Linked DNA regions of Tamandua tetradactyla. The protein of the gene in region 1 purifies or fractionates together with the protein of each later gene. This does not show direct contact. Links are inferred from orthologs where the notes say so. Each region holds a gene or a part of one and is shown on either strand. Other genes may lie near its edges. The genes, in order: ATF2, ATF1 and CEBPB.

The links.
Region 2: the proteins of ATF2 (region 1) and ATF1 purify together in Homo sapiens (affinity purification with mass spectrometry; 3 studies listed by BioGRID and IntAct, with this or other methods). This does not show direct contact. The link is inferred for Tamandua tetradactyla from reciprocal best matches to the Homo sapiens genes ATF2 and ATF1.
Region 3: the proteins of ATF2 (region 1) and CEBPB purify together in Homo sapiens (affinity purification with western blotting; 3 studies listed by BioGRID and IntAct, with this or other methods). This does not show direct contact. The link is inferred for Tamandua tetradactyla from reciprocal best matches to the Homo sapiens genes ATF2 and CEBPB.

What each region holds. Positions count from the first base shown.
Region 1 is NC_135329.1:147,334,937-147,343,537, forward strand, and holds the start of ATF2 (cyclic AMP-dependent transcription factor ATF-2), read right to left. Parts: upstream 3,297-8,601; 5' UTR 3,212-3,296; coding exon of another isoform or gene 3,192-3,211; intron 1-3,191. UniProt on the Homo sapiens protein: Transcriptional activator which regulates the transcription of various genes, including those involved in anti-apoptosis, cell growth, and DNA damage response.
Region 2 is NC_135333.1:111,991,312-111,999,404, reverse strand, and holds the start of ATF1 (cyclic AMP-dependent transcription factor ATF-1), read right to left. Parts: upstream 3,366-8,093; 5' UTR 3,330-3,365; exon of another isoform or gene 3,266-3,329; intron 3,139-3,265; exon of another isoform or gene 3,055-3,138; intron 2,908-3,054; exon of another isoform or gene 2,740-2,907; intron 1-2,739.
Region 3 is NC_135327.1:2,603,893-2,611,583, forward strand, and holds CEBPB (CCAAT/enhancer-binding protein beta), read right to left. Parts: upstream 2,754-7,691; 5' UTR 2,478-2,753; coding exon 1,422-2,477; 3' UTR 850-1,421; downstream 1-849. UniProt on the Homo sapiens protein: Important transcription factor regulating the expression of genes involved in immune and inflammatory responses. Also plays a significant role in adipogenesis, as well as in the gluconeogenic pathway, liver regeneration, and hematopoiesis.

The DNA.
Region 1 (8,601 bases):
CCCCTTACCCCTTGCTTTCATTAATCACTAGCATTTAAACTAAATTTATTTTAGCATTTGTTCCCCCTATTATTTATTTTTATTCCGTATGTTCTACTCATTTGTTGACAAGGTAGATTAAAGGAGCATCAGACACAAAGTTTTCACAATCACTCAGTCACATTGTGACAGCTCTATCATTAGTCAATAATCCTCAAGAAACATGGCTACTGGAACACAGCTCTACATTTTCAGGCAGTTCCCTCCAGCCTCTCCATTACATCTTGAATAACAACTGGTATCTACTTGATGCATAAGAATAACCTCCAGGATAACCTCTCGACTCTGTTTGGAATCTCTCAGCCATTGACACTTTATTTTGTCTCATTTCACTCTTCCCCCTTTTGGTCGAGAAGGTTTTCTCAATCCCTTGATGCTAAATCTCAGCTCATTCTAGGGTTTTTCTCAATCCCTTGATGCTGACTCTCCGTTCATTCCAAGATCTCTGTCCCACGTTGCCAGGAAGGTCCACACCCCTGGGAGTCATGTCCCACGTAGAGAGGGGTAGGGTGGTGAGACTGCTCGTTGTGTTGGCTGGAGAGAGGGGCCACATCTGAGCAACAAAAGAGGCTCTCTTGGGGGTGACTCTTAGGCCTAAATTTTAAGTAGACTTGACCTATCCTTTGCGGGGTTAAGTTTCATATGAACAAACCCCAAGACTGGGGGCTCTGCCTGCAGCTTTGGTTGTCCACACTGCTTGTGAGAATATCAAGAATTCAACTTGGGGAAGTTGAATTTCTCCCTGTTCTCACCACTCCCCAAAGGGGGCTTTGCAGATACTTTTCCACTCACTGATCAAATCACTCTGGGATTCATTGGGGCATCACTCTGGACAAACCAGCAAAATCTCATGTCCTACGTGAGATTCCAGGTACTTATGGCATTCAATCAAACTATCTACATAAGTTGTATTACGAGATGCACTAGTCAAAATAAAAATTTTTTAACTAATAAACATTTTTTGCTTTAGTCTCACACATACGGTGACATTTTAAAATATTAATTACCATCTATTTTCAGCACCCTGCAATAATGACATTCCTCTGTTCTTCCTCATGCAAAAACATTTTTAAAATTTGTACATTTAGTCACTATTATTATACACTCTAGGCATTCCTAGATATACCATCTCAATCTTTAACATCTATCTTTCTTTCTGATTTCATTTATGCCCCCAGCCCTCCTCCCTCTATTGTTCTCACATGCAGCTTCATTCAGTGTTTTAACATAATTGTATTACAGTTAAGTAGTATTGTGCTGTCCATTTCTGAGTTTTTGTATCCAGTCCTATTGCACAGTCTGTATCCATTCTGCTCCGATTACCCAATATCTTACCCTATTTCTATCTCCTGATGGTCACTGTTATGAACAAAATATTCTAAGTTTATTCACTAATGTCAGTTCATATTAACGAGACCATACAGTATTTGTCCTTTAGTTTTTGGCTATTCTCACTCGGCATAATGTTCTCAAGGTCCATCCATGTTGTTACATACTTCATAACTTTATTCTGTCTTAAAGCTGCATAATATTCCATCGTATGTATATACCACAGTTTGTTTAGCTACTTGTCTGTTGATGGGCATTTTGGCTGTTTTCATCTCTTTGCAATTGTAAATAATGCTGCTATAAACATTGGTGTGCAAATGTCCGTTTGTGTCTTTGCCCTTATGTCCTCTGAGTAGATACCTAGCAATGGTATTGCTGGGTCGTATGGTAATTCTATATTCAGCTTTTTGAGGAACCGCCAAACTGCCTTCCACAGTGGTTGCACCATTTCACATTCCCACCAACAGTGAATAAGTGTGCCTCTTTTTCTACATCCTCTCCAGCACTTGCCATTTTCTGTTTTGTTAATAATGGCCATTCTGGTGGGTATGAGATGATATCTCATTGTGGTTTTGATTTGCATTTCTCTAATGGCCAGGGACATTGAGCATCTCTTCATGTGTCTTTTGGCCATTTGTATTTCCTCTTCTGAGAGTTGTCTGTTCAAGTCTTTTTCCCATTTTGTAATTGGATTGGCTGTCTTTTTGTTGTTGAGTTGAACAATCTCTTTATAAATTCTGAATACTAGACCTTTATCTGATATGTCGTTTCCAAATATTGTCTCCCATTGTGTAGGCTGTCTTTTTACTTTCTTGATGAAGTTCTTTGATGCACAAAAGTGTTTAATTTTGAGGAGTTCCCATTTCTTTCTTTCTTTCTTCAGTGCTCTTGCTTTAGGTGTAAGGTCTATAAAACCGCCTCCAATTATAAAATTTATAAGATATTTCTGTACATTTTCCTTTAACTGTTTTATGGTCTTAGACCTGATGTTTAGATCTTTGATCCATTTTGAGTTAACTTTTGTATAGGGTGTGAGATATGGGTCCTCTTTCATTCTTTTGCATATGGATATCCAGTTCTCTAGGCACCATTTATTGAAGAGACTGTTCTGTCCCAGGTGAGTTGGCTTGACTGCCTTATCAAAGATCAAATGTCCATAGATGAGACAGTCTGTATCTGAGCACTCTATTCGATTCCATTGGTCAATATATCTATCTTTATGCCAGTACCATGCTGTTTTGACCACTGTGGCTTCATAATATGCCTTAAAGTCAGGCAGCGTGAGACCTCCAGCTTCGTTTTTTTTCCTCAAGATATTTTTAGCAATTCGGGGCACCCTGCCCTTCCAGATAAATTTGCTTATTGGTTTTTCTATTTCTGAAAAGTAAATTGTTGGGATTTTGATTGGTATTGCGTTGAATCTGTAAATCATTTGACATCTTAACTGTATTTAGTCTTCCAATCCATGAACACGGTATGCCCTTTCATCTATTTAGGTCTTCTGTGATTTCTTTTAACAGTTTCTTGTAGTTTTCTTTGTACAGGTCTTTTGTCTCTTTAGTTAAATTTATTCCTAAGTATTTTATTCTTTTAGTTGCAATTGTAAATGGAATTCATTTCTTGATTTCCCCGATTGTTCATTACTAGTGTATAGAAATACTGCAGATTTTTGAATGTTGATCTTGTAACCTGCCACTTTGCTGTACTCGTTGATGCAACATTAATTCTTGCTGTAATTTCTGGCTAGCCCCCACAATCATCTGTGCCAATTCCTTAAAATAAATATTTTAATGTTTAAAAAAATAAAATTTAAAATCTCTTACCTTTCTGGCTGGTGGGCCATGAGCTTTATATTCACTCTGCTGCCAGGAATCACTCCTCTCTTATCAAATAAGCAGAGCTTCCAAAGTTTCCATTTAAGTATCCTTAGGGCAAAGGATAGGCAGAAAAGAGTGAACTCATTAACCTGCACGATCTAAAAGAATAGCCTCATGCAGTACAACTGCACTATGAAGTTTTAAAAGTATTTTCCTTATTCTATATTTTAAAATGCATGGTAACATTGTAAACACAATTAATACCGCTGAATTATACACTTGAATGTGATTAAAATGGGAAATTCTGAATTGTACATAGAGTACCAAATTAAAGTTTTAAATAAAAAGGTAGAAGTTGGATCTTAAAAAAAAAATGTTAATTTTCCCTTCCATTCCCTATTTTTTAATATAATATGTTCCCTCCAAAATCTTTAATGCTCAAGGAAGGTATTTATCTTGTGGCCTCTCATAACTCCTTGCACATGCAACATATCAAAGGAATGACACTTTCAAGGAGGGAAGTAAGACAATAGAACCTTGGTGAAACACAGCAGATATACGAAGTTTTTCACCATGATAGATAGGGGGGTAAGGAGGAAGGCATGATGTTAGGTGAAAAGGCAGTGCTGCATCTCAGCATCAAAATCCTGAGTGTGACCACAGTACATGGAACATTGGACAGGGCATGAGATTTTGTAGGTTGGTCCAAGTTAGTGTGATGTCCTGATAAATCCCAGAGGGATTTGTACAGTGAATACAGAAGTATTTGCAAAGTCCCCTTGGGGGAATGGGAAGAATGGGGGAAAATTCAACTTCCCCATTTGGAGAATTCCTGATATTCTCACAAGCAGTGGGGACAACCAAATCAACAGGCCAAGCCCTCAATCTTGGGGTTTGTTTCTATTAAACTTATCCCCACAAAGAATAGGCTAAGCCTACTTAAAACTAGGCCTAAGAGTCTTTCCCAGAGAACTTCTTTTGATGCTCAGAAGTGGCCTCTCTCTCTCTCAGCCAACACAGTAAGCAAACTCACTGCCTCCCCTTCTCTACATGTGACATGACTCCCAAGGGTGTCCCTGTCCCTGGCAACATGGGACAGAAACCCTAGAATGAGCTGGGACTCAGCATCAAGGGACTTAGAAAACCTTCTCAATCAAAAGGGGGAAGAAAGAAATGAGACAAAATAAAGTGTCAGTGCTGAGAGATTTCAAAGAGTTAAGATGTTATCCTGGAGGTTATTCTTACACATTAGATAGATATCTCCTTTTTAGTTTATGGTGTATTAGAGTGGCTAAAGGGAAACAGTTTGAAATTTTTATGTGAATGCCAAAAGCTAAAAAGATACTCATTTCAAGCTGACAACAAAATTATTTTATATACAGACTCCTGTTTCCTAAAGGCAAAATTTTCTGAACTGGACATTTAGTTATACAAACGTAAAATGGAGACTATAAACGGAGTAGCAATTCAAAGGACAAACAGCTCTATGGGACAATGTAAAACTGAACATCTTCTAGGTAGAGATAAATTTCTGCAAATTATTTCCTTCACATAAATGTTTATTTTCTAGGTATTGGCTTTCAGTGGACTTATTTGTAAGGAAAGGTTTGTGTTGTTATCTCAACAGTTGCTCAAAAACTTCTCTCTCTCTAAGCCAACATGGCAAGCAAACTCACCGCCCTCCCCACCTGTATATGTGACATGACTCCCAGGGGTATAAACCTTCCTGGCAACATGGGACAGAAATCCTAGGACGCTAGGACTTGGCATCAAGGGCTTGACAAAACCTTCTCGACCAAAAGGAGGAAGAGAGAAATGAGACAAAATAAAGTGTCAGTGGCTGAGAGATTTCAAATAGAGTTGGGAGGTTATCCTGGAGGTTATTCTAACACATTATACAGATATCTCCTTTCTACTTTATGGTACATTATTGCAGCTAGAGGGAAGTACCTGAAACTGTGGAGCAGTGTTTCAGTAACCATGTTTCTTGAAGATGATTGTATAATGATACAGCTTTTTAACTGACTGTGTGATTGTGAAAATCTTGTGTCTGATGTTCTATGGTATAGATAGATGAGTAACAAATATGGATAAGAAATTAATAAATAACAAAGGTTAAAATAAATTGAGTAGATTGAAATACTAATGGTCAACAAGAGGGAGGGTGCCATGGTCAGGTTCATGTGTCAACTTGGCCAGGTGGTGGTAACTGTTTGTCTGGTTTGGCAAGTGCCGACCTGTCTGTTATGAGGACATTTCATAGAATTAAATCATGATCATGTTGACTACATCCACAGATGATTCCATTTGTAATCAGCCAAGGGGGATGTCTTCTTTAATGAATGATGCTTAACCTAATCAATCACTGGAAGTCTTTTAAGGAGGATTCAGAAGAGACAGCTCTCTTCCTGCTGTGGCCGGCAACAACTCCTGTGGAGTCTGTCCAGACTCTCCATCAGAATCATCAGCTTCACAGCCTGCCCTACAGGTTTTGGACTCTACGTTCCCACAGTTACATGAGACACTTCTATAAACTTTATATTTATGAATATTTCCTGTTGATTCTGTTTCTCTAGAGAACTCTAACTAATACAGAGGGGTAAGGGGTATAGTATATATGAGTTTTTTCTTTTTAATTTCTTTCGCTGGAGAGATGCAAATGTTCAAAAAAATGATGATGGTGATCAATACACAACTATGTGATGATATTGTGAACCACTGATTATAACCATGTCAAAAATGTTTGTATGCCAAGAATGTTTGTATTTTTTGTTTGTTGTTTACAATAAAAATATTTTTTAAAAAAGATCAGGAACAGACAAAACAATCCATTGTTAGAAAACAGTGAGATGGACTTGTGGTCTTATCTTCACCTCAAACAAAATGAAACCAGACTAAGCCAGCTGTATGTGGCCTGTCTTACACACGCAACATTAGATTATCATCCAAACTTTGAAAAACAAAAAAAATGTATATACAGCAGAGTATGAAAAGGTTATCAACAAAATACTTTAAAACATAAACACAGACTGGATTCAAATAAAATTATGTTGGAGAAATGGAAAGAAAATAGGAGTTAAATAAGAAAAAGGAACATAAAAATGTCCAACTGTTGAAGATAAACTCATTTGAGTTTTTAAAAAAAAAAACAACAGTATGTGATCACTGGTATTTAATTATAAATGAGTGGTGCCATTATTTAGAAAAGGTACAAAATCTACTTTTTGTAACTATTTAAATATGTGATGAAAACTTTTAGAAATAAACTTAGAAATGTGTAAGGATACAAAGTTTATCAAATTTCTATTCAGGAATATGAATGTACTACACAGAATGGCTCCCCAAAGATGTCCATCCCCTAATCCCTGGAACTGGTGAATATGTTTTATGTTTGTTACATGGCAAAAGGGATTATGCTTAAGTAAAAAGACTACAGATTCTAAAATAGGGAGATCATCCTGGATTACAGAGATGGGCCCAATCTAATCACATGAGAATTTAAGAACAGAGACCTTTCTCTGAGAGGGGTCAGACAAATTCAAAAAAAGACGTCAGAGAAATTAGAAGCATGAGAAGAATTCAACTCGTCATTACTGGAGGGTGCCAGATGTGAAGCATTCCAGTTTCTAGGAGCAAAGACCAGTCCATTCCCCAACTCCCTGACAGCCAACAAGGAAAGGGGGACCTCAATTCCACAAGTACAAAGAACTGAATTCAATCATCAAACTGAATGAGCTTAGAAGCACATTCGTCCCCAGAGCTTTCTATAAAGAATACAAAACTGTCAAATCCTTCTTTTGGCCCTGTTTGGATCCTAAGCAGAGGATGCAGCAGAGTCTACCTGAACTTCTAATGCACAAAATCTGTGAGATCAAAAAACAAAAATAAAAACTGTGAGCTGTTTTTGTATATGTGTTTTAAGTTGCTGAATTTAGGGTAATTTGTAAGGCAGCAAGAGAAAACTAATAAAGTGAACAAAAACTTTAAGGTGCCGTTAGCTGAATAGGCTAGTGTCCCATGGCTTCAAAGCAACAGCACCCTATAGACACATTTTTCTCCGTGCTATAATTTCCTTCTTATATTGTAGTTAAGTACCACAAAAGCAAGCTAAATGATCCTAGAGCCCACCTTTGGAACAGCAATATGATCATAAAAACAAACCTAAACCCAGGAGATTGAGAACCTATGAGTTAGTAGGACTTCATTCCTTCTTCTCAAGGTTAAATTACATTTGAGTACCTTTTTTAGGAAAAATTTACATGATATAATTTCACTAAGAACCTCTCCAGTAAGAAATAAAACATGAATTCACCAGTTTGGGAGATATAAAAAAAGAATAAATTAAAATAATACATGTAAAATACATAGTACAGTACACAGCACCCAAATAGTATCTGTTGCTTATTACAAATTTTAATGTTTTACTTTGACTTTAAATGTACATTGTCCTAAGGCTTAACTAATACCTAATCTTATGATTTTCTTTATTTTTAAAGTCAGAAAGCATGAACTACATATTTAAACTTTTAGACAAATGATTTTTCAATTAATCTTTAACCCACAGATTTGATGTTATACTAAAGTTTATTTAGTACATAATGTTCACTCATCTTGTTACCTCATTTATATTCAGTTCATTCATCAAAGAAGTCAAACACATTACAAGTGACAGAAAAAAAAATAAGTCCAGCTTTAATGAGGAAAGCAGCAGTTTTGAATCTTTTTCCCACCCACAGGGACATAGCATATGTCCTTCACCCAAGAGTTTTGAAGAAACTCTTCAAAGTTGAAAGAAAACATGAGCATCACAGATTTTTCTTGATATCACATTCATAAGAGTACAAGGATCTGAATAATGAAATCAGCCCAATATCTCAAAATACTATTTACTGGTCGGCAAATTTAGACAACGGAGACCCATTGCTTTAGCTTGTTTGGGACAGATGTTCCATACCACTGTTCTGACCTGGGTGAGATATGAAGCTGGCAGGGGGCTAAAATACCCTGCCCTTTTAGGACTACGGGGAATAGATTACCAAAGAGCACCATCTGATGGGCAAGCCAGGAAAATGCACCCTTGGGGAGCTGAAATAAAGGATTTTTTGGCATCTTTCCTGACCATATCCTCAGAGCCCTTTGGAACTGGTCTGCTCCCTCAGTGTGGGTTCCTGGGCCTGTTTCGGCTGGAAAATACTGATGAACCAATTGTCAAAGAAAAGCCTTAACACAAACCTAACTGTGCCAGTTTGAAAGTATTATGTATCCCAGAAAAACCATGTTTTAATCCTGATCCACTCTTTTAATCTTGATTCAATACTAAAGATTAGAAACTTTCAATTAGATTATCTCCATGGAGATGTGACTCCACTCATTCAAGGTGGGTCTTGATTAGTTTACTGTAATTCTTCAAAAGAGC
Region 2 (8,093 bases), on another chromosome or scaffold:
TAGAGTGAGCTGAGATTCAGCATCAAGGGATTGAGAAAAACCCTAGAATGAGCTGAGATTCAGCATCAAGGGATTGAGAAAAACCCTAGAATGAGCTGAGATTTAGCATCAAGGGATTGAGAAAAACCTTCTGGACCAAAAGGGGGAAGAGTGAAATGAGACAAAGTGTCAATGGCTGAGAGATTCCAAATAGAGTCGAGAGGTTATCCTGGAGGTTATTCTTATGCATTAAGTAGATATCACCTTGTTATCCAAGATATAATGGAGACGCTGGAGGGAACTACCTGAAAATGTAGAGCTGTGTTCCAGTAGCCATGTTTCTTGAGGATGACTGAATAATGATATAGCTTTCACAATGTGACTGTGTGATTGGTGATTGTGAAAACCTTGTGTCTGATGCTTCTTTTATCTACCTCGTCAACAAACGAGTAGAACATATAGAATAAAAATAAATAATAGGGGGAACAAATGCTAAAATATAAAAAAAAAAAGGTTAGAGAATGGGCAGATGATGCTTAATCTGTACAGAATATTTAATAAGATTCATTGTAAATGTTTGGTAATGGATAGAGGTGATGGTGGCACAATACTATTTGTGTAATTAAAAATGGTGAATATGAGTCTGGTTGAAGTCTAGGGTCGTGCACATCACTAGAAGGGAAGCTAGAGGATAAAACATGGGTCTGTATAACACAGTGAAACCTGTTGTGGATGATGACTATGGTCATTGTACAAATATAAGAAAATTCTTACATGAACTAGTATAAATGTATATCAACATTACAAGGTGTTAGTGATAGGTGGTGTAAGGGAAAAAATGCAATTAATACAAACAAAGGAACAAAGTTAACAGTAACACTGTAATATTCCTTCATTAATTATAACAAAGGCACTATACCGAAGCTAAGTGTCAATAATAGGTGGGAATAAAGGATATGGAATCTTTTCTTTTTTTTTTTTTTCCGAAGCAAAGAGAATGTTCTTAAATTGACTGTGGTGGTGAATTTATAACTCTGTGACTATATCAAAAGTTATTGGTTGTACACTTTGGATGGACTGTATGATGTGTGATTAAAACTGCCACACCCACAAAAAATAGGAAAGAGAGGCTTGGAGGAGAGTGTAGAAATAAAGATTATCAGTATCTAAAAAGGTAAAAAGAAAGACAAAAATAAGATTTGACAAATAAAAGCCAAAAGATAAAATGGTTAAAGTAAGTAATGCCTTTACAATAATAACATTGAATGTTAACGGATTCAACTTGCTAATCAAATGACACAGACTGGTGGAATGGATAAAATAATATGATTCAGGGGGGGCCATGGTGGCTCAGTGGCAGAGTTTTGTCATGCCGGAGGCCGGGGTTCGATTCCCGGTGCCTGCCCATGTTTAAAAAAAAAAGAAAGAAAGAAAAACAATATGATCCAGCTATATGCTGTCTACAAGAGACTCCCCTTAGACCCAAGGATACAACTAGGTTGAAAGTGAAAGGCTGGAAAAAGATATTCCATGTAATATTATTATCAGACAAAATAGATTTTAAATGCAAAAATGTTATAAGGGATGAGAAGGGATATCATTTATTAATAAAAGGGGAAATCCACCAAGAAGTAAAATCAATCCGCCAAGAAGTAAAATCAATCATAAATGTTTATGCTAACTAAGGTGCCCCAAATCACATAAGGCAAACACTGGCAACACTGAAGAAAGAAGCAGTCTAAAATAATAAATGGAGACTTCAATACACCACTCTCATCAACTGATACAACATCTAGCATAAATTCAATAAGGAAACAGAGAAATTGAATAATATGATAAATGAACTAAACCTAACAAACATTCACAGAATACTGCAGCTCAAAACAGCATGATATACTTCTCCAGGATAGACCACGTGCTGGGTCATAAAACGCGTCTCAATAAATTTAAAAAGGGTGAAATCATACAAAGTACGTTCTCTAATCATAACGGAATGAAGCTGGAAATCATTAGCAGGTGATAATGTGAAAACTCACAAATACATAGATGTTAAACAGCACATTCTTAAAACTATCGGTGGGTCAAAGAAGAAACTGAAAAGGATTATACTGAAAGCCACTGATTGCACACTTTGGATGGTTTGTACGGTGTGTAAACAAAACTGTTCAGTCTATATATCTATACATATATATATACTTCTAGACAATGACTTCATCCCAGCTTTAAAAATGCAACGATTCAAGAACAAGATATACCCTACTGCCCAACGCTGGAACCTTGTAAATAAGTGGTATGACTTGTGAAAAAAGAATTTTCAGAAGGGACTACCACCTATTGGTATATAGTGGTACTGCACAGATACATCACAGACCAAACATTACCCTAAAGAATAATTACAAATAATAAAGATCTAACATATTTACTCGACTTTAGGAAGCAGTACTGAATAAAACTGAGACAGTAAGTTAAGTGTACAATATAAAGCCTACAGAGAAAACAGCATCTTAACAAAAAGCTACGTATTTCTTTGGGTAAAGAAATTCTCAGGATAAAATGTATTTTGTAAATACCCTAGAAACTGTTATCATAGCTGAGGCCTGTCTGACAAAGATGCTTGCCAAATCTATGTAGAAATAGCTTCAGAAGCTTAAGGGCTCTCAAAGACTATTAGTTCAATGCTCCGCAAAAGCTAGCTAAACAGTACTGAAAATCTACAATAAATTTAAATCACAGCATGGTTGAAACTGTAAAATACCATACTTAGTTTTATAATAAGGGAGAAAATTGAAGGGAAAGTTTCCTCGGTTTGATCATTGTCGGGGGAGGGCGCGAGGCGGGGGGTACCACCCCTCTGTCACTCCTAGCCTAGTTAAACCAAAGGGCGCCCAGAGTGGGGTCAACTGGTCCCGGACGCCGCTCGGATGACGCCGAACCGAGCCCAAGGCCAAGCTGCCCTCCCTCCGGCACCCGACCCCAGCCCCGAGACCTCCAATGGAGAACCCTTGCCTTCAACCGCGCAGGGGAGGCTCATGAGGTTAAAGCTACCCTGCAGCGGGAGGTTTTAGATTTTATTACTTTTTTTTACTTTGGGGATCAGGGGGAGCAGAAGACGCGATAACCGGAAGGGTACAACGGAGAGCCAGGGCGCGCGAACCGGAAACGCGCCCCGCCAGGAAACGCGCCCCGCCAGGGAACGCGGACAGCCTCCGCAGCGGCAGCCCCTCCCCCTTCCGCCGCGCTCCCTCCGCGCCCTTCCTCCACCGCTGCTTCGGCGCGCGACCCCCGCCCCGACTTTCCCCTCTACCTGCCAGACGCTACGGGAGCACGTCCCACTCCCGCCCCCCACTTACCTGTGGCTGCCGCCTCGCCGCTGTCCGGGACGGGAACTTCCACTCCCCCCCTCCCAGGGTGGATCCGAGTTCACTAGCCCCTTTCCCAACCCCTCACGCTGCGCGGGACGTGTCTCTTTCTCAAGGGTCAGATGGATGGGGGAGAATCAGTGTCACTTTACAGCCAACTGGCAGTAAGGGCCGCCATTGGCGGCATAATCTACACCAGGCTGGGGGCGGGGGAGGGAAGGGGGGAAACTGAGTGTAAATGAGCGTGGGGAGTGAAGTTAAGGCTAGCCTCCCGTGAAGGCCACCGTACTACGTCACCGCGTCGATCACGTGATGCGCCGCCATTTTTATACTCGCGCTGACCGGCGAGTTGGTGTGCTTGAAGATGTTATCTTGGTGAGAGTTGGACGTGAAAACGGGTTGGGGTTCTTTTTTTTCTTGAGGATCTTTCCATCACGACCCTGGCCGCTCTCTCTTACACGTCTCTTGCCAGAGGGCCTCACCAGCTTAGTGATATTAAGCCATTTAGTGTGGGGCAGTTGTCGTTGGCTAATCGCATCCCTCTCAGCTTCAGTTTCTGTGTGTTCTAGTTTGAGTGATCGCACCTTGAACATCTTGAAGGGAGAAGCGAGGAGACTTGTCTTCCTTGGGTTTTCTGAGTTCACCCAGACTATTCTTATTCCTACAAAACAGCGTTAAGAAGTGTGTTTTTTCATCCTTATGAGGTAGAATTTTCTACACAGACTGATTTTTTTTTAAAGGTGCCAGTCGGGTATTTGAGCTCCATTTCGTGGGCACTGTGGAACATAGATTCCCCAAACTGTTAAACTGTAAAGAGGAAAGTTAGGTTCAATTCAGTTTCAGTGTCGTAACATAGTATGTTATGCTGTCCTCTTAATATGTTACAAAATATTTTTTAATGTGTGCCTTGACTAATTTGGGGGGGGGGGGAAGGCATTCTGGGGACTGTGCTTCATAATTTTTTTTCCTTATTCATTTTCTTGCAAAATGTTCTTTATGATTTTATGATGACATTAAACAACTAATCTCTTACTTGACAAAATGTTCCAGAAACTTTTCTCAAAAAAATTTTACAAGTTTGAGATGTGGGATGCTAGGACACTGGTTTAGTAGAGAGCTTTTCCTGTTTTTGACCCTTTGAGGCCAGAAAATGTGGTTTAAAGTTAAAGGGTTTATTCTGCAATAAGAGCTCTCATAACGTTTAGTTATTGCCATCCATTCAGCAAACGTCGATTACCATCTAAACAAGCTAGAACAGGTCATTGCCCTTCTTTGTTCATGTTAGGAGGACCAGGTTTTTGATTAGGCAGATTATCCAACGTCTCTGAGGAAATGAAGAGTGTAATACCCAGAAGTCCCACATTACTGAAGTAATCAGGATGTCATATGTGAAAGCAAATTGCCTTATTAAGGTAAGGGGTCGGGAAGAGGGTCACATAGCAGCCTTTTCTGATTAACCGAGTCCAGCTTCTATCATTCTGGAATCCAGAAAAATGATCTGGAAAGCTGGTTGTACCAGTTGTTCTGTGTTTCGTTGTTTCCCCTTTGTGCTCCCTTGGAACAGAATGCTTAACAAATGTTGAACAGTAAAAAAAGGAGTGGGGAATGAAAAATGCTACCATAAAAAGAAACGAAGTTTTACTGTAACAAGAAACCTTCAAAATGTGCTTGAGCTACTCCCTCTTTAGCTCCTCCTCCACCTGTAAAATTCCTTAAGTCTAAATCAAATGTTACTTTTGTACAACATTGTCACTCACAAATATATTCACCTTTCTTCGTTCTTTCTCGTGGTGTCACAGGCTGTTCCTCCTATTTTTTGGATTATGAGGAATAACTGAATGTAAAGGAAGGAAAAAGATTTTGGTTCTTATGCACACAGTTCCTGTTAAAATAGTAAAAGATTTGTGAACCAGATGGACAGGTTTTTGACTTCAAAAATGAGGAAATAAAGTGGAAAAAACCTAAGTTTCAAGAGTCCAAAGGAATGGATGGTGGTTAGCACTTCCTTAGCTCTTCTGGCACTTTTTTCTATTTACGAAAAAGAATATTATTATGAAATGGGTTTAATCCTATATCCCACAGTTTTTGTAGACTGAATGAGTTCAATACGTGTCAAGTTAAAGCTGTGCCTTGCACAGAGTAAGCACTGAATAATGTTAGCTATTATACTGGAAGACACTGCAATGTAACTAACTGGAAACAGCTGGAAAACACTAAGTGGCCACTAATTAAGAGAAACCTAATGGGTTTACAAAGGGACTGAGCTGGAGTAGAGGATTTAAGAGCCTTAAAACAGTGTCTGGAACAGCGCACCTCTAAAAAAAGCAGAAATTATTTAAAGTTAATGAATACAAACTTTTTGGCCTATAAAATAGCCTTTTTTTTTTGGTCCTTTTTCCTCAAGTCTAAACACAGGAAAACTTAACCAAGGATAGGTCCTAAGCTGCAGGGAGTGTATAAACTACAATCCACTATTTCAAGTAACACACCTTGAAACAGGGTTGTCCCAGATAAGTTAGCTCTGACACTATTCACTGCCTAATGTTAACAAAGCTTGAATTGATTCCAGAGAACTAATCTGTGAGGCTATTGGAGTAGCGGACAACTGCAGGGCTGTCCATCTAGCTCACCCTCTTTACGAAAAGTATTCTTTAAGGTCATCCAGATCCATTTAACAATGGGCATCTCACTCACACTCAGCCATCTGAGTCTCATCTTCCCCCAAGGATTATGACTTGGACAAAAATTAGTCTCTAAGTGTGAACTATCCTAAAATTTGTGTAGTGGGCATTTTCCATCCACAAATGATGCAGATTGAGAGAGCAATCCAATAGCTTTCTAGACCCCAGTTCTAGAAACTGCCTGAGGTACAGCTGCCTGCCACAGTCTTTAGGTTCAATGGGCCACCCTTGGTCACTGAACTGAAAAGCTCTTTTTCTATTTAAACTAGATTACCTTGATTGCTGTTATTTTCAGAGTCCTAACAAATATAGCTGAGTACAGGAGGAATAATTTCCTGTGACTTCCTCCCCTTCACTATATTTCCTGCACTACCTTAGTCCAAGCCATCATTACTTCTTTCAATGTATATTGCAGCAGTCTCCTACTTGGTTTCACTAGTAAAACCATATAATGTGCAAGTACTGGTTATTGGTTGTGTTAGCTGGATTGCATAATGAAAAAGTTATTTACTTACCTACAAGAGTATGGCCACAGAGCTGTAGTAAAACAGCTTGAAACAAATATTCAGCTATTAAGAGAAGTCTTCTTTAGAGGCTGATGTTGGCCAGAGCATGCTGCAATTATGAAGCTTTTGGAGAGTTCAAGAGGGAAGGTCACCTTAGGGCTGGACAACACCTTTTTTTTTTTTTGAGGTGAAATTCACATAACATGAAATTAACAATTTAAAAGTAAACAACTAAGTGGCATTTAGTACATTCAGGATGTTTTGTAATCACTTCTATCCACTTCTAAAACATTTTTATCTCCGCTAAGGAGAAACACTGTATCTTTAAGCAGATGCCTTCCATTTCCTCTCCTTCCCACCCCACCCTCCCCGCACCGCCCAGTCCCTGACAACCACCAATCTACTTTCTGTCTGTATAGATTTACCTATTCCAGATATTGCATGTAAATGGAATATTTCTTCCTCTTAGCATGCTTTCAAGGTTCATCCAAGTTGTACCATGTTTCAATACTTCATTCCTTTTTATGGGTGACTAATATCTGATTGTATATTTTGTTTATTCATTCATCCATTGATGGATATTTGGGCTATTTTCACCTTTTGGTTATTGTGAATAGTTTTGCTATGAACAGGCAGGTACATGTATTTGTTTGAGTACTGGTTTTTAGTTCTTTTGGGTATATACCTAGGAGTGGAATTGCTGGGTCATATGGTAATTACTCTATTTAAATTTTTTATTTTTAGGGTTTTAGTTAATCCTTATGGTATTGTACTATGTATTCTTCTTTTCATGAAAAACAAAAGCTATGCTCTCCTAATTATGACTGGTACAGAAGCCCCTGTTTTCAAACAGTGTCCTGAAACTTCAGAAAGGAATGGATCTGTTAAACCAGCAACCATCAGTAAGAGGTACTGACCATCTAATAGGTCTCTGGAACAGATTAATATATAGTTAAGTGATAAATCTGGAAATTTGGGGGGAAAATTATTAGGAAATACTTCAATGACATGCCAAATCCCTCACAAAAATGTACTTCATCCAACGTCAATCTTTCATCTGACAATTCTTTAAACATCCCCTCTAGAGTGGCTTTTAGCCACACAAACCCCCCCAGAACAGCAAACACCACTACACGACTCCAGAGACGGAAATAACATTACCACAGTGAAACACAAGAGGTTGCCCAGTGTTGCTTAGCAATGCAATGTAGGCAGGCCATAGAAGGGTATTCAGAGGGCTTGATATTCACCAACTACACTGATAACAAAAGACAAAGAATCTACCATAGAATAAAACAGAGGAGAATGGCTGAAGTCTTACTATTAAGCCAATGGCTGTAAGTGCAAAAATGATCCTGGTCTCCATCCCTTTCTATCACTCATGTACATATCTGTCTGTGCATGTACACAGAAAAAATAACTTATTGAGCACTACTACAGACCACATACTGTCCTAAGCACTTTACAAATCAATATATAAAGCTAAGCATGCAGGTGATAAATTAATATAAAGCTAAGCACGCAGGTGATAAATTCTTTTCAATTTCCACACAGATATTTAGAAACCC
Region 3 (7,691 bases), on another chromosome or scaffold:
GGCGGGTGTGGGGGCCAGAGGATCAGAGGAGAGGGAAGCAGGAGACCTGCCAGGGGCGGTTTCCTGTCCCACCGAAGCAGCCCCGGGTTCAAACTCTGGCCGGGCTACCGGAGCCGACAGGTGAGGCCGGGGCACAGCGTCCACATGTGGGCAGAAAGGGGGAGGGTAAAGTCGTCCAGCCCAGGTAAGGCGTGCAGGACCCCTCCCCCCCGCACCTGGCCAGGCTGCTGCCCTCCCACGGGCGGGGGGAACACAAACTCAGACTGGCCCACACACCCAGGCTCCTTTCTTAAAAACAAACACGCGCGCACACACACACACACACACACACGCAAACTCACAAATTTTCAAACAGCGCACCCCACAGCACCTTCAAAGTCTGCCCCTTCCTCCTGCAGCCACTGGCCGCCTGCCCCGCCTCCAGACAGTGTGTGGGCCACAGACCTCAAGGACCCCCCCAAACCCAGGTTTGCTGCCCAGGACCAAGTTGACTCCCCAGAGACCCACCCCACCCCACCCCCCAAGCAGGGCTCCTAGCCACGGGTCCTCAGCACCCAGGGGCACTGAGTCACTCCAAAATGCCTGACCCAGCACTCCTCCCCCAGGCCGGCGCCCCCATCTCCAAGCACAGACCTTGGGGTGCAGCAGGGGAGGAGAAACCCCAGCTGCCACACCCACACCCAACCTCCAAGAAGCCAAAAATAACATCAGCAGCCCCCTACACGCACACAAGGACGCCCCCACAGCAGCAAAGCACAAAGCCAAATCAAATAAACCCACAAGAAAGATCAAAACGTGAATAATAATCCAAAACCAACTACTGCCCCCAAAAGGCTTTTTCAACTCGTCTCCAAAAAAAAAAGTTTATTAAAAGTGTCTTACTTAATGCTTGAAACGGAAAAGATTCCCAAAATATACAGACGCCTCTTTTCTCATAGAAATAGAATTATTTTTTTTTTATAATACAAAAAAAAGGCCAAAAAAATAAACAAACCAACCAACAAACATCAACAACCCCGTAGGAACATCTTTAAGCGATTACTCAGGCCCGGCTGACAGTTGCACGTGGGTTGCGTCAGTCCGCGGACACACGCCTTCAGCCATGTTTAGGGCGATTGCATCAACTCCGGAGCCGCGGGAGAAGCAGAGTTTCTCGTTCATCCGGACACACGGACGTCTCCCCTTCCAGGAGGGCCGGGGGGCGGGCGCCCCGTCTGGGGGGCGGTCGCTTTGGCCAAAAAAAAAAAAAAAAAAATAGAGAGAGCTAGATATAATAAACTAGTAAAACGACCGGCGGCTCCCCGCGCTGCCCAGCGCCCCAGTGCCAAAGTTCTGCCGGCGCCGCCCGGAGCGGGGGCGGGCGCGCGGGCGCTTCCCGGAGGCGCGAGGCTGGCGGCGGGGGGCCGCGCGCGGGGGCCGCGCTAGCAGTGGCCGGAGGAGGCGAGCAGGGGCTCGGGCAGCTGCTTGAACAAGTTCCGCAGGGTGCTGAGCTCGCGCGACAGCTGCTCCACCTTCTTCTGGAGCCGCTCGTTCTCGGCCGTGAGCTCCAGGACCTTGTGCTGCGTCTCCAGGTTGCGCATCTTGGCCTTGTCGCGGCTCTTGCGCACGGCGATGTTGTTGCGCTCGCGCCGGATCTTGTACTCGTCGCTGTGCTTGTCTACGGTCTTCTTGGCCTTGCTCTTGACCTGCGAGGACGCCGGCGCGGCCCCCGGGTAACAGGCCGCCGGGGGCGCCTTGGCGTCGGCGGGGCTCGGCGTGCCGGGCGGGCTGGACGACGAGGACGTGGAAAGGCTCCCACTGCTGCCGCTTGGCACCGCCTGGTAGCCGAGGTAGGCGCGCAGCGCGTACGGGAAGCCCGCCGCCATGCCTGCGGCGCCGCCGCCCGGCGCTCCGGCCTCCTCCTTCCGCTTGCAGTCCGCGGGCTCGAAGCCCGGCTCCGCCTTGAGTTCGGCGGGCGGCGGCGGTGGCGGTGGCGGCGGCGGCGGCGGGTGCAGGGGCGCGAAGCAGCCGGGGTGCAGCGCGCTCTTGGCGGCCCCCAGGCGCCCCAGGCTCACGTAGCCGTACTCGGCAGCCTTCTTGCAGTTCTTGCCCCCGTAGTCGTCGGAGAAGAGGTCGGAGAGGAAGTCGTGGTGCTGCCCGGAGGAGGCGGGCGCGGAGGCGGGCGCGGGCGGAGCCGCCTCGAAGGTGTCGGTGGCCGTGGCCGGCGCCGAGGCCTGCGGCGCGCCCAGCGGCTCCAGGTACGGACTGAAGTCGATGGCGCGCTCGTGGTCGCCGATGCTGCCCAGCTCGCCGGCGGGGGGGCGCGGCCCGGGCCTGGCCGCGGAGGGCGCGGGGGGCGCCGCGGAGGCCGCCTTGACGCCGTACGCAGCAGCCAAGCAGTCCGACTCGTAGTAGAAATTGGCCACTTCCATGGATTTAAAGGCGGGCGGCGGCGGCAGCGGGAGACATGCTGGGTCCCAGGCCACCAGGCGTTGCATGAACGCGGGTGCCGGGGGAGGGGGCCCGGGGCTGCCCGCTCCGGCCGGCCCGCAGGTGGCGCGGCCTCCCGGTTCCGAGCTGCCGCCGCTGTCGCTGCTACCGCCGCTGCCGGGGTGGCCGCTACTGGTGTGGGGGCTGGCGCCTGGACCCTCGGATGGGTCCCCTTCCCAGTCCCGTGCTCGGCTCTGACTCGCTAAAGTTTCTCCCGAGCCCGGTTATTTATAAGGCGGCCCATGGCAACGGCTGCGTCACGCCTGGCGGCCGCCCCGGCCCCTCCCGCCGCCGCCGGGACGCGGAGGCCACCGCCGCAGCCGCCCGAGACCCCCGGGAGGGCAGCGGCGGGGCGCGGCGGCCCGACCTGGGGCCGGGCACGCCCCTTCGGGGGGCTCCCGGCCGCGGGGGGCGGCCTCGCCCCCTGCCCACCCGGACCCCGCGGCCCCGCGATTGGGAGCGAGACGGGGCGGCGCGATCCCGCCCCCGGACCGCCCCCTCCGGGCCGAAGGCCACGCTAGAGGGGGGCGGAATCCGGGGAGGGGGCGCCGGGAGCGTCTTCCCCCGCTACAAACGCGGCGGCCGCCTGCCCCCTGCCGGGAGACACCGCGGCCTCAGGCTCGCCCGCGCGCTGCTGCGGAGGAGCGCGCCCCGCCGGCCCCGGAGACCTCGAACCCCGCTCGGGCCCTGGAGAGGCGCCCCCTCTCCACCGCCCTTCCCCGGGCGCCTCCCCGCCCCCCAACCTGCTCCCCCCGCCCCCCGCCCCGGCCCCGGCCGCGGGAAGGAGCCGGGGCTCGCGCCGGTGGCTGCTGCTCGCGGCACTGCGGCTGCTAGGACCCGGCTGGTGGGGTCCCCCCAGCCCCGCCCACTCCACCTTCCCGTCCCGGGATACTCCACCTCCACCTGGGTACTGGGGAGGGGGTGCAGGGGATGCTGTGCCACACACTGAGTGACCTTGGAAGAGTCGCTTCCCTTCTCTGAGCTGTCCTTTCTTTGATTAATTGTATTGTCCCCACCCCAGAGTCCCCAAGATAAGGCTGCTCTGAGCCCCAGAGCGGACACCAAGAGGGGAAGCCCGGAGGGGGCGTGGCACGTGTCGAGCCCCCAGCCTCTTGTCCCCCATTCACCCCCTAACAAGGGCCCCCCCGTCCAGCGCCCTAAGACCTTTTTGCCAATCCCAGAGGCCCAAAAGCCACTGGTTCTGAGGCTGGGGGTGGCGGTGGTGATCAGGTCGGGCCTCGCTGTGGGCCACGTGGGATGGAGCGGGGTCTCTCCGCATTTTCAGGGTGCGCCTGGTCTGGCGTTCACATTTTCACCCAAGAACCCTGGGGGAGGGCGCTTTGCTGCCCCCACTCCACAGTTGGAGAGGTGGTCCCGGCGGGGTGCCCCACTGAGGGGCTCAGGGGCCCCTCACCCTCACTGACCCTACTTCTGGGCCTACCCCCTGCCTCTCCCAATCCCTGCCGCCCCAGCAGAAGCTCGGCCTGCCTGGGGCTGACCCCCGTCCCACTGACCCCAGCCCTGGCCCAGCGGCGGGCATTGCTCAACTTTAGGCGTTATCTGCTGAGCTGAGTGACCTCCGCCCCCTAGAGCTGGAGAAATGACATCTCTGAGCGCCCTTGGCGGGTGGGGGAGGGGGTGAAACATGGGCCTGCTGGCTCCCTGTGCCTTCCCAGCAGCCTCTGAGCCAGGGAGGGATCCAAGGCCCCGCGGCTGGCGGTGGTTTCCCCAGAGCCGCCCAGCCAGGCTCCTGAGTGCAAATTGGTACACTCAGGCTCAGCTTAGGGCCACCGCCTCCGAGAGGCCCTCCCTGCTGCATCCCCTGGTAACCTTTCACAGCCCTTAACTCCAGCCGCCATTATCCTAGTAGCCTATTTACTGGTCTTCCTGGATCTTCCTCCACCCCCACCCCCCCACCCCCACCCCCACCCCCCCTCCCCCAAGACTGTCTGCAGGCAGTGGCAGCTTTGGCTCCTGGGCCCAGCATGCTCAATACTGCCCCATGAGTGAGGGCTTCTGCCACGTTCTCTGGAACCTAGAACACTGTTGCCCAGCTCTGCCCAAGGCAGTTCCTTCTTATTTTCAGGTCCCACCTCAAAGTCACCTCTGAAAAGCCCTCCCTGACTTCCTGGTCCAAAGCCCCCACCTCTCATCACTCCTCTCACCCCTTCCTGTTTCATTTCCTTCACCATTCTGGTTACCTTCAAAATTCTCTCACCTGCCCATCGTGCTTTCTGTCCCCGCCACCTCCTCCCCATGGCAGCCCCCTGCAGACCAGGGACTTTTGTCTTTTGGGTCACTGCTGTCCCCCAGTGTCTAGAACCATGCCGGGCACACAGTAGGTGCCTAAGAAATGCAAATGAATGAATGAAGGGGACTGAGAAGAAGCAGGGGCCTCCACTGGCCGGGCAGGGTGGCATGTGGCAGGGGCTCCTCTCTCAGACCCCTGGCCCTCAGGGTTCTGGGGAGGTGCGGGGCCTGGAAGGCCTCCAGCTGGTTGGAGGTTTACTGTGTGTCCTCAGGCCAATCTGCTGCCCTCTCAGAACCACGTTTTAGGCTCCTTGCATATACTGGCTCATTTAATTGTCCCCATAATTTGTAGGATGCAGGTTGACAGAAGGGAACACCTCCAGTTAACAGAAGGGAAACTGAGGCCCAGCAAAGCTAAGGGTGCCTATTCAGGGTCACATGAAAGGGTGGGAAATGCTGCAGTCTTTCCAGTCTCACCTTCCCCTTGGGTTTGTAGTAAGCTGTAACAGGTTGCATGATGCGAGCCCCATTTTCTGGATGGAAAAACCAAGGCCGAGAAGGGTGACCCAGGGTCACACAGAGAGTTAGGGGGCAACCTGGGGACCAGCCCCAAAGCACTGGACTCAGCCCTCTCGGGTTTCTTAGCCCGCTGGCCTCCGTGAAAAACTTCACCACCAAAGCCCTTGTTCCCTGCCTCCCCCACCCACGCCGCTGAACTCGTGGCAGCTCCCACCGGGTCGAGCCTGCCCTGCGGGTGCCCTGGTCAGCTACACCACCGCACCGCTCCACTGGTCCCCCAGGAACGGGGGGCAGGAGGACCCCCACCGGCACCCACCAGGGTGGCTGTGGGGCCGGGGGACCCAGGTGGAGCCCCCCCAGCGCCCTGCCCAGCTGCGCCCTGCACCGGCTTTGTGGGCAGCCATGGCCCACCTCAACCCTGTCCGTCAGGCCCCGCGGTGGGTGCTGGTGTTTTGTGTTTCTTAGTGGATTTGTGGCCAACATTTAAAGTCCAGCAGACCTCACATCAAAATTCAAATTTCCAGCTACACTTTTAAAAGCAGAAGTTGTGGGCAGGGCCCCACGGACGCCCGCCTGACGGCCTCCACTGCCTTGAGACCCCTCCCCCCACTCCCTTGGCTCCATTTTCAGGGGGAAAAGACCGAGGCTGCTGACCCAAGGGGACCGGCCGTAGCTGTGAGGGAGAAGGGGAAAGGGTTTGCAAGGGGCTCGGACATCAGCAGGGGGGTGCGGGATGCAGCTGGGGGGGTTGCCGCTAGCTAGGGGCTCAGTGGGGCTGGGGCTGGTGGGCGGGGCCCTTCCCTACGCGGCACCTTGGCCAGGCCTGGTGTCCCCTCCGGGCCTCGTCCCTCACCTGCACGGGGGCTCGCTGTCCTCTGCTGGACCTTGGGCCTGCCGCCCGCGTGGCCAAATCAGATCTCTAACCCCCAGAGGTCACAAACAGGTACTGGGGACGCAGGCAGAGGTCAGGGAGGCCCCAGGATCGCGAAGGCTGATCCCCTGATTCTAGTGTCCGTGATTTTCCCCCACCATGCTCATCTCTGCGGCCTCAGTTTCCCCATCTGCCAAGCGGGGTTCCCTCCCTGAGGGCGGCGAAGCAGCCAGCGAGACGTGCCTGGGTGCGTGCTGCCCCCGGGTGGCCGCCTCCGGAACTGCAGGGGCGGCGTGCCGGCTCCGTCGCCGGGGCCTGGGTCAGAGTCAGTCCAGCGGGTGACCGATGCCCACAAATGGGCCACTGAAGAAATGAACATGCCCACCGGACACAGGCGAGGGGCCCCTGAAATGTGGCCAGCACATTGCATTTAATTTTTATGAACTTGACCTTAGCCTCGTGGTCCGGGCTGAGTCCGGCCAGCACGTCTAGAACAGTCTCTAAGGTCTGTCGTTAAGCGGGTAGAGCCAAGAGCAGGCTGTTTGACGATACAGATACTCCCACGGGAAGGGGCACGAGAAACTGGCACCAGTGGAGGCCTAGGGCTGGGGTGCTCTGGATATTGTGTAAAAAGACACCCCAAAACTTAGGGGCTTGAAGCAACAACTAGTTCACGTGCTCCTGGCCCATGGGCAGGCACTGGGACAGGGCACAGCGGAAGCGGCTCCTCTCTGCGCCGTGGGGTCTGCAGGCGGGAACACCCAAGGGGGCTTCTTCGTCCCAGGCGTGGCATCCACGCAGGACAGCTCCACAGCTGACACTGCCTGGTCGCACATCTACATCGGCTCCTTGGCTCCTCGGTTCTCCTTTCCCACGGGGAGTTTCTTCCTCGCCACGTGGCTTCACCTGCAGCCCCTGCACATGTGGTGTCTCCACAGGAATCTCTCACATGGCCTCTCCATAGGGACTCACGTGGCCTCTGCACTGGTGCTTCTGCATGTGGTGTCTCTGTATGGACTTCACGTGGCCTCTTCTTATGGCTCTCTGAGTGCTCTCTCCATGTGACCACAGCACGTGGTCTCCTGGCCACTGTACACCTTACATAGCAGCTGACATCCCCCAGAGCACAGGAGCAGAAGCTTCCAGGCTTTCTGAAGGCTTAAGCCTAAAACACGCAGCCCCACCTCTGTCCCATTCTGTTGGTCGAGGGGAGGGGCTGCACATGTGGTTACCTGGGGGCCGAGGCTGGGCGGGAGGGAGACCTGCAACCCCTTATGATGGGGGAGGTCACCATGGACACGTTGGACGTCGCTGTCCGTTGGAGTCCAGGAAGCTGTCTGCCGCAGCCTTGTGTCCACACCTCTGCTTCGGGTCATCCCCCCGTAACGGCCTGCCTTTCGTCTCCAGCTGCAGCAGTGTGCGGGGACGATGTCGCTAAGTGTCCAAGCAAAGTACTGCCCACCTCCTCCGGCTGCCCACACCACACGTCTCTGGGGACTGTAGCCGGCCCCTGCCTGAGGAGGTGGGTGCCAGCTCCCTCCCCAGGACCCACTCGGGAGCCCACCGCAGGCCACCTTTGCCC